2 linked regions of the Oryctolagus cuniculus genome follow. The protein of the gene in region 2 interacts with the protein of the main gene of each other region in a pairwise test. Links are inferred from orthologs where the notes say so. Each region holds a gene or a part of one and is shown on either strand. Other genes may lie near its edges.

Region 1 (3,675 bases), on a different chromosome or scaffold from region 2:
CACCGTCTCCAGTCCTTGGAGGGTGGTGATAACAGCAGCTGCGGTGTGGGTGCTCATAAAGAGCCAGACTCCGTGCGGGGCATGCGCCACTCCTCTGGCTCCTAGCACCGCTGGGATGGGAAGCTTGTCTGTTCCACGCTGGGGAACAGAGGCTCAGAGAGAGAGTGAGGCGCCGGCATAGGGCAAGTGGCGGTGCGCAGGTCCCGACACACGCCCGTCTGACCTGGCGCCTCCACCCTCCACCCTCCACTGACTCTCAGAGCCACACCGAGGTGACCGCAGCCTGCTGGGCCAGCTCAGCCTGGGGCAGGCCCAGGTGTGGGTTCTTTCGGAACCTACCTGGTGGTGGTCCAGCTGGGATGGGTTTTGCAGGTCTGAGACCCCAACACCCTCCCCCCAGCCCTGCCACACTCTTAATTCTGCAGCTTTGCCCCTGGCTCCTAAATTTGTACAACGCGTAAGTCCCCAGGGGACAGTCTGCTTCCTGAACAGCTGAGCCCCTCGTGTCCATCCGCCCTGCTGCCCACCGCATGGACACCGGGTGAGGCTGGCGCTTAGAAAATAAACGCTCTCCGGTGATTTTATTATTGGGTGTTGCGGGAGCCGTCCAGGGCAGGGGCGGGCCAGGCAGCAGGGCCCCAGGGCTGTCCGAGGTGCAGAGCCGTGTGCCAGTCCTTTGGGGTTCCGTGGGCAGGGTCTAGTGGGCGGAGTCTAGTCGCCGTTGGGGCCGGCGTGGGCCCGGCGCAGAGGGAGGTGACTGGTGAGATAGCGCATGGCGGATCGGATGCCCTCCATCGTCCGCCGCTCCACCGTCTCCAGCACGTGGGTGACGGAGCGCAGAGCCGAGCCCGTGCCGGAAGTCAGCCCGGACGAGAAGGCCGAGCTGGCGTTCCCCAGGATGCTGGACACTGAGCGCAGGCTGGGCCCCGTGCTGTGCAGCAGGTCCGTGGGGGAGCTGTGGCCCGAGGCCAGGAAGCCCACGGCCATGCCCATGCCCATGGTGGACTCGGACCACACCAGGAGGTCGGCCAGGGAGCTGATGGAGCCCTCGCCGCCGCCCAGCAGGCTGCTCATGGAGCGCATGTAGTCGTTCTCCTCGTCCGCCTCGTACAGGTCCGAGTCCAGAGGCCTGCCCAGGCCCCGCTGCCGGGGGCCCGGCGAGGGCGGGGAGCTGCCCCCCGGGGAGGGAGGGAACGACTGGAACTGCAGGTCCCTCGAGCTGTCCGTCGAGTCCTCCTCCATCACCAGCTGGGACTCACTGGCCAGCAGAGCCCCGCTGTCCGGGTCAAAGGCCTTGGGGCTGTTGGCCTGCAGGGGCTGAGCGTCGGCATCGGGGGCGGAAGGAGCCTTAGCTCCCGGGGTGGCTGCAGCCGGTTCCAGCTGCCCGAGGACACTCGCCGTCTGCGGGGTCCTTTCCTCGCCCTGGGTGTCACTTGTCCAGACCGCGGGACTCCAAGCCGCCCGCCTGTCTTCAGGCAGCTGGTCCCACGCCGGACTCTGGGGGCTCCCGGGCACCTGCAGGGCACCAGGCTCTTGGGGAAGCAGAGACGTGACCTGTGCAGGCTCCTGTCCATCACCTGGAGCAGCTCCCTTCTTGTCTTTGTCCCCAGATGGTGACGTGGCCTGGGAAGTGGGCTGGTCTAGATCCTGCAGGCTGTCGGGTGCTGTGGCGCTGCGGGCCGACCAGCCATCTGCACGGGCGGCGTCTTGGCCCTGGGCCCCTGCTGCTGGGCCATCTGCAGACCTGTTGTGTGCCGCGCTGCCCAGGGTGGCCTCGGGAGGGCCATGGTGGGGGTTGATGGCAGCTTGGGCCTCTCCCGGGGCCTCGGTGTTCATCTATGCCCTCTGCCAGCTGTGGTGGTTCAGGGGAGTGGCCATGGCTCTGCTGGGCTGACTTGGCCAGGCGGTGAGGTCACAGGAGGCTGTGGGCAGCCGGTGAGGTCACAGGTACCTTCAGAGCAAGGACATGCACCTGCTGGGCCGCTGCCCAAGAGGGCTGAGTCTGCGGGGCGCTTTGCAGGTGAGTTTGCAGGAATGTGGAGAGAGAAACAGGTGTGTTGGGACAGCTGGAGGTGTGGATGCTGGTGCAGGTGCAGCCGTGAGGGGTCACGGGGGCTGTGGCTCTGGCGAGGGAGGAAATGACACAGGTGCTGGCTTTGAATCCGTGTTTAAAGGGACCGCACCAGGCTGGCGCCGCGGCTCACTAGGCTAATCCTCCGCCTAGCGGCGCCGGCACACCGGGTTCTAGTCCCGGTCGGGGTGCCGGAGTCTGTCCCGGTTGCCCCTCTTCCAGGCCAGCTCTCTGCTGTGGCCAGGGAGTGCAGTGGAGGATGGCCCAAGTGCTTGGGCCCTGCACTCCATGGGAGACCAGGATAAGTACCTGGCTCCAGATATCGGATCAGTGCGGTGTGCTGGCCGCGGTGGCCATTGGAGGGTGAACCAATGGCAAAAGGAAGACCTTTCTGTCTCTCTCTCTCACTGTCCACTCTGCCTGTCAAAAAAAATAAAATAAAATAAAATAAAAAATAAAGGGACCACACCAGCACCTCTCTGTCCACACCAAGGCTTCCGGACCCCACTTCAGCCGCTCTTTCTGCAGGGGCTGTGTCCCCCTACGGCAATGAGTAGGAAGCTGTAGAGGCCAGGGCCTGGGCCTCTCCTAGCCCTGGACATCTTTGGCTGTGGGGTCAGCCCCTTATGACACAGGACCAACCCTCTCCATATTCTTTTTGCTCAACCAGGCCGGGAAAGATCTGTGTGGCTCAGAAAAGCCCGCATACACCTCCCTGCGTGATGGCCTTTGTTAAGAAGCCGGCTGCAGTGGAAGGTTCCGGGCTCTGTGTCTGTGCTCCTCCAGGCTTATCAGCTAACGGCACCAGGGAGCTGCAGATCTCCTGCGATGCCTGCGATGCCCATGTTACACCTGGGGAAGCTGAGGGAATAAGGAGCTAATTCTCGGTCTTGCTGTGATTGAGCCCTGAGTCTGGATTAAGCTCTCCAGTGCTCTCTCACACCCAGGAGGGATTTTCAGTACACTGACTGGCTGGTTAACGGGGTTCTGAGGCCCACTGTACTAACCCAGGCCCCAGCTCTGTGCCGTCGGCGGCACTGTCTTCATGCTAAGGCTGTCTTCCCAGCCGCTGCCCCACGCAGCCTGTCCCTCTGCAAGGTCCAGGGGACAGGTTCTGCTTGTGGGTTCCCAAACATGCCTTCAAGAGTCAGTTCTCTCACTGGCCGTCTCCGTCTGTCTCTATCTTTCTGCTCATCTTTTTCACTGACGGCTGGATATTCGGGAAGATTTCCTCAATACAGGGGTGGCTAACAGCTCCAGACACACAGCCTAGTGGCTTCAAGCCACTGGAAGCCCTCCTTGGTCCTCTGTGGTGACAGCAAATCTCAGGACAGGCTCTCTGGCTGCTGCCCATCTGTGACGCGTCCCTGCAGCCTGGGGCACACCATCCCGAGTGCTCAGGCCTGAGTCACTCCCCTGCAGTGGGGACGTGGGGACACGATGCACCCCCCCCCCCGCCAGCAGAGGGCGTGGTTTTCCCAAAGGAGAGCTGTGCTGCTGTTCCCAAAACAGGTGAACCAGATGCTGGGTGGGAAGCAAAGTCCTCCAACGGTGACTGCAGAAGTGTGAACGAACCTCGGCTTCCTGGTGAAAGCCCGGCAGAA
Region 2 (3,804 bases):
GTGTGACCTGGTCAGTGCCCTGTACTCTCCACTGAGGCCCCTGCCATGCCGCCCCCCCACCCCCCTTTCGGGGCACTCACAGGGCCAAAGCCACCTCCAGCGCCCAGGTGATTGGGGTACTGGTCTGGGTCGAACATGCGGATCTGGGATTGAGGGATCTGGCTGGTGGAGAGGCGCCAGGGTTCGGAGAGCACCTGCAGCGGGGCAGCCGTGGCCGGTTAGATGCTGCCCATCGGCACACACCTGTCCAGCAGCAGCACCCGAGGCCTATTCAAGCCTGCAGTGTCCTGCTGAGGACGCAGGTGTGAACGTGAGGGCAGGCCCCAGGTCCTCCACAGCCTGTTCCCACCGCAGCCTTGGGGAAGAACCCTCTCTTGCCATAGGAGGCTTGCGTGACCTGCTGGTCCCTCTCTCGGCTCTGTGCCCCCCGCCCTCGTCAGCCTCTCTCCTTTCCGCCCCGGCGCTTGTCTGCACCTCACACGTCACACACGAGACCAAGTCCACACTGCGCTCAGTCCCAGCACCGCAGGCTCAGGCGGGGTGCGGGGCAGGAGAGCCGGCTCCAGCCCCCAGGCAACTTCCCAGGAGCTAGCTACAAGACACAGTCCGAGCCCCGGCACAGGGAGGCACCCCGATGCACCCGTCTCACGGACCTCAGCCAGGAACGGGGAGCTGACCCCCAGGTACTTAGAAACCAGGTAGAGGCAGAAGAGGTGCCTGTCGATCCCAGCCCCCGTCATGGCCAGGCGGTACATGTTCTGGTGCTTTTGCGCAGCTTTCCGGAAGAGATCCTGGAGGTCGGCTTTCTGGAGGCAGGAGAGGAGGGCAAGAGTGGCCTCGGCCCTGAGGCTGACGAGGGGCACCTCGCCCCGACGGGAGAAAGGGGGCTCACCATGTGCGACCCCTCCATCATGGCCTGCACAAAGGCTGTGGACTCGCTGGTACAGGAACGCACGGTCTCAGTCCGTCCCTCCCGGAACATCCTGGTCATCGAGGCCTCGTAGGTCAGGCAGAACTTGCCCTTGTCCTGGGGTACACAGAGGGGTGAATCTGGTAGGCGCCCTCACGCCACCCTGCCCGCTCGCCGCCTGGGGGAGCTCTTACGCGGAAGTGAGCCAGCTGCAGGGCTATCTGCACGAAGGCGTCCGGGCTGGTCCGACACTTCTTGATGAGGCCCTTCCCGAAGGGCAGGAACTGGAAGCAGCACAGCTCCACATCGTCCGCCAGAGCCCTGGCCACCTGGTACGAGCGCTCGATGACTGCCTGACACTGCCAAGACACGGTGGGTCAGAGCCCTCCAGGTGCAACCCTGGGTCACGGCCAGGAGGCAGGGGGTCGTGCTGACGGATGAGGGCCAAAGGGGCCCACGTCTTCAGGAGGAGGGACAGGATGGACAACTCAGGGGTACCGGCCACCGGAGGCCAGGCTGAGCTTGGTGGGAGGAGGGTGGCACCAACAGCTGCCCCACAGATGTGAACTTCACATCTCACACCTTTCTCTAACCACAGATGGCTCACGGTTCTGCTCTCCTGTGGCCAGCCTGGAGCTACACAGGATCCTGTCCCTTCCTGCTGAGGGCTGGGCCGGGTGGTGGGAGGGGCGGGGGAGGCAGAGTGACTCAGATGATTGTCACTCTCCCACCCACCCCGCACCTGCTCGGGAATGTCCCACTGCAGCCGCTGAGGAGGCGCCAGCGTGGAGTTCGGTTTGCCTAGGCAGTGCCCAGTCTCTGTATAGCCCAGGTGGAAGGTGTCAGTGCCCACGACAAACTGCAGGGAGAAGTCAAGCTGAGAACCTGGGCTCCCCCCACCAAGCCTGCCCTGCAGGTGCCCCTCCCAGCCCTGGTACCTCCCAGAGGTGCCCGATGATGGGGGCGTCAGCCCACGCGTGTTCCGTGTTGAGACCCAGCTGGCCATTCTTGAAGGAAATGAGAGTGAAAGACTTGTCGAACCACCTGTGGGAGGAGTGGGCCCAGGGATGACTCAGTCCTGCAGCTTCCCACAGCAGCCTAACCGCGACACTAAACTCGCTATTTCTAGCCCCGGACCCTCACCCTGACCTGAAGCCTATCCCTAGCACGAGCCCGACCCTAACCTGTGCCTCATCCTGACCAGAACCTCAAGCAGACCCCTGGCCCGTGGGCTGTGGCACGCACCTGTTGTAGCAGTTGCCATGCAGCAAGGCCTTGCCGTAGAGGCTGAGGCTGGCCTCGTCCTCGGGGTTGTAGCAGTGGGCCTCCTCATCCAGGGCCACGAAGAAGGCAGCGCGCTCAATGGCGTCCAGAGAGGCCTTGTTCTTGCCCGAGCTGAAATAGGCCTGGCGTGCCTGCGCCCACTCCACCCTGCAGACCAGAGGGCAGGTGAACAGCGGGGCCCCGTGGGCCCTGGGTGAGGGCACCTCCCGAGACCTGGCTGGGCCTGAAAGCAGGGTCTGGTGGGGGCAGCGGATCACGCCCTCTGCGTGCTCGTACCTGGTTGCCAGCCCCTTGAGATGGGATCCACCCGCTGTGCCAGTGCTGGTACCCCCAGTGCTGCTCCCTTGGCTGTGCCTTTGGTCCCTTGGCCTGGGGTCGCAGGAAGGGCCAAGCACCTCCCTGATGGCCCCCGCCCCCGTACCTTCCACCCGCGGTGAGGGCTGCCAGCTTCTCCTCCCCAGGCTGGGGCGGGGAGGGGTCATCCAGGATCCTCTGGAACTGCATCTCCAGTTCCCGGGGCTTGAGCAGGCGCGAGCCCTCATACAGCCACACCTTGTAGAAGCGGCCCTTGTGGTAGACAGCCACGTGCCTGCTGTCCGCGAGGTGCTGCAGCACATCTGAGACAGAGACCAGGTGCAGGCTGAGGCTCGGCCACAGGGAGCCCTTCACTGGACAGCTGATCCTGCCCAGCCCAGCCGCTGCCCGGGCCCTCCTTCCCTTGGGGGCGGGGCCACACAGCTGAGACAGGCCCCACGCTGGGGCTTCCACCACCACTGCTGCGACACCCACAACAGTCCCGGGAGGCAGCTCAAGAAGAGGCCATCGCCGGCGCCGCGGCTCACTTGGCTAATCCTCCACCTGCGGCACCAGCAGCCCGGGTTCTAGTCCCGGTTGGGGTGCTGGATTCTGTCCTGGTTGCCCCTCTTCCAGTCCAGCTCTCTGCTGTGGCCTGGGAGTGCAGTGGAGGATGGCCCAGGTCCTTGGGCCCTGCACCCGCCTGGGAGACCAGGAGGAAGCACCTGGCTCCAGGATTCGGATCGGCACAGCGCGCCAGCCGTAGCAGCCATTTGGGGGGGTGAACCAACGGAAAAGGAAGACCTGTCTCTCTGTCTCTCTCTCTAACTCTGTCAAAAAAAAAAAAAAAAAAAAAAAAAAATGGCCGGCGCCATGGCTCAATAGGCTAATCCTCCACCTTGCGGCGCCGGCACACCGGGTTCTAGTCCCGGTTGGGGCGCCGGATTCTGTCCCGGTTGCCCCTCTTCCAGGCCAGCTCTCTGCTATGGCCAGGGAGTGCAGTGGAGGATGGCCCAGGTGCTTGGGCCCTGCACCCCATGGGAGACCAGGAAAAGCACCTGGATCCTGGCTCCTGCCATCGGATCAGCGCGGTGCGCCGGCTGCAGCGGCGGCCATTGGAGGGTGAACCAACGGCAAAGGAAGACCTTTCTCTCTGTCTCTCTCTCTCACTGTCCACTCTGCCTGTCAAAAAAAAAAAAAAAAAAAAAAAAAAAAAAAAAGAAAGAAAGAAAGGAGAGGCCATCGTGGCCCCTGGAAAAGGGTCAGCATCGCGGTGCAGTGGGTTAGGTTGCTGCCCACGGTGCTGGCATCTCACG

Evidence for each region.
Region 1: the proteins of CPT1B (region 2) and TEX44 interact in binary tests that used the Homo sapiens proteins (3 or more experiments, as listed by UniProt). The two-hybrid records come from large-scale screens. The link is inferred for Oryctolagus cuniculus from reciprocal best matches to the Homo sapiens genes CPT1B and TEX44.

What each region holds. Positions count from the first base shown.
Region 1 is NC_091434.1:7,713,512-7,717,186, forward strand, and holds TEX44 (testis-expressed protein 44), read right to left. Parts: upstream 1,933-3,675; 5' UTR 1,837-1,932; coding exon 712-1,836; 3' UTR 555-711; downstream 1-554.
Region 2 is NC_091442.1:123,496,284-123,500,087, forward strand, and holds part of CPT1B (carnitine O-palmitoyltransferase 1, muscle isoform), read right to left. Parts: intron 2,812-3,804; coding exon 2,616-2,811; intron 2,342-2,615; coding exon 2,156-2,341; intron 1,955-2,155; coding exon 1,849-1,954; intron 1,770-1,848; coding exon 1,653-1,769; intron 1,270-1,652; coding exon 1,105-1,269; intron 1,028-1,104; coding exon 893-1,027; intron 807-892; coding exon 654-806; intron 195-653; coding exon 81-194; intron 1-80. UniProt on the Homo sapiens protein: Catalyzes the transfer of the acyl group of long-chain fatty acid-CoA conjugates onto carnitine, an essential step for the mitochondrial uptake of long-chain fatty acids and their subsequent beta-oxidation in the mitochondrion.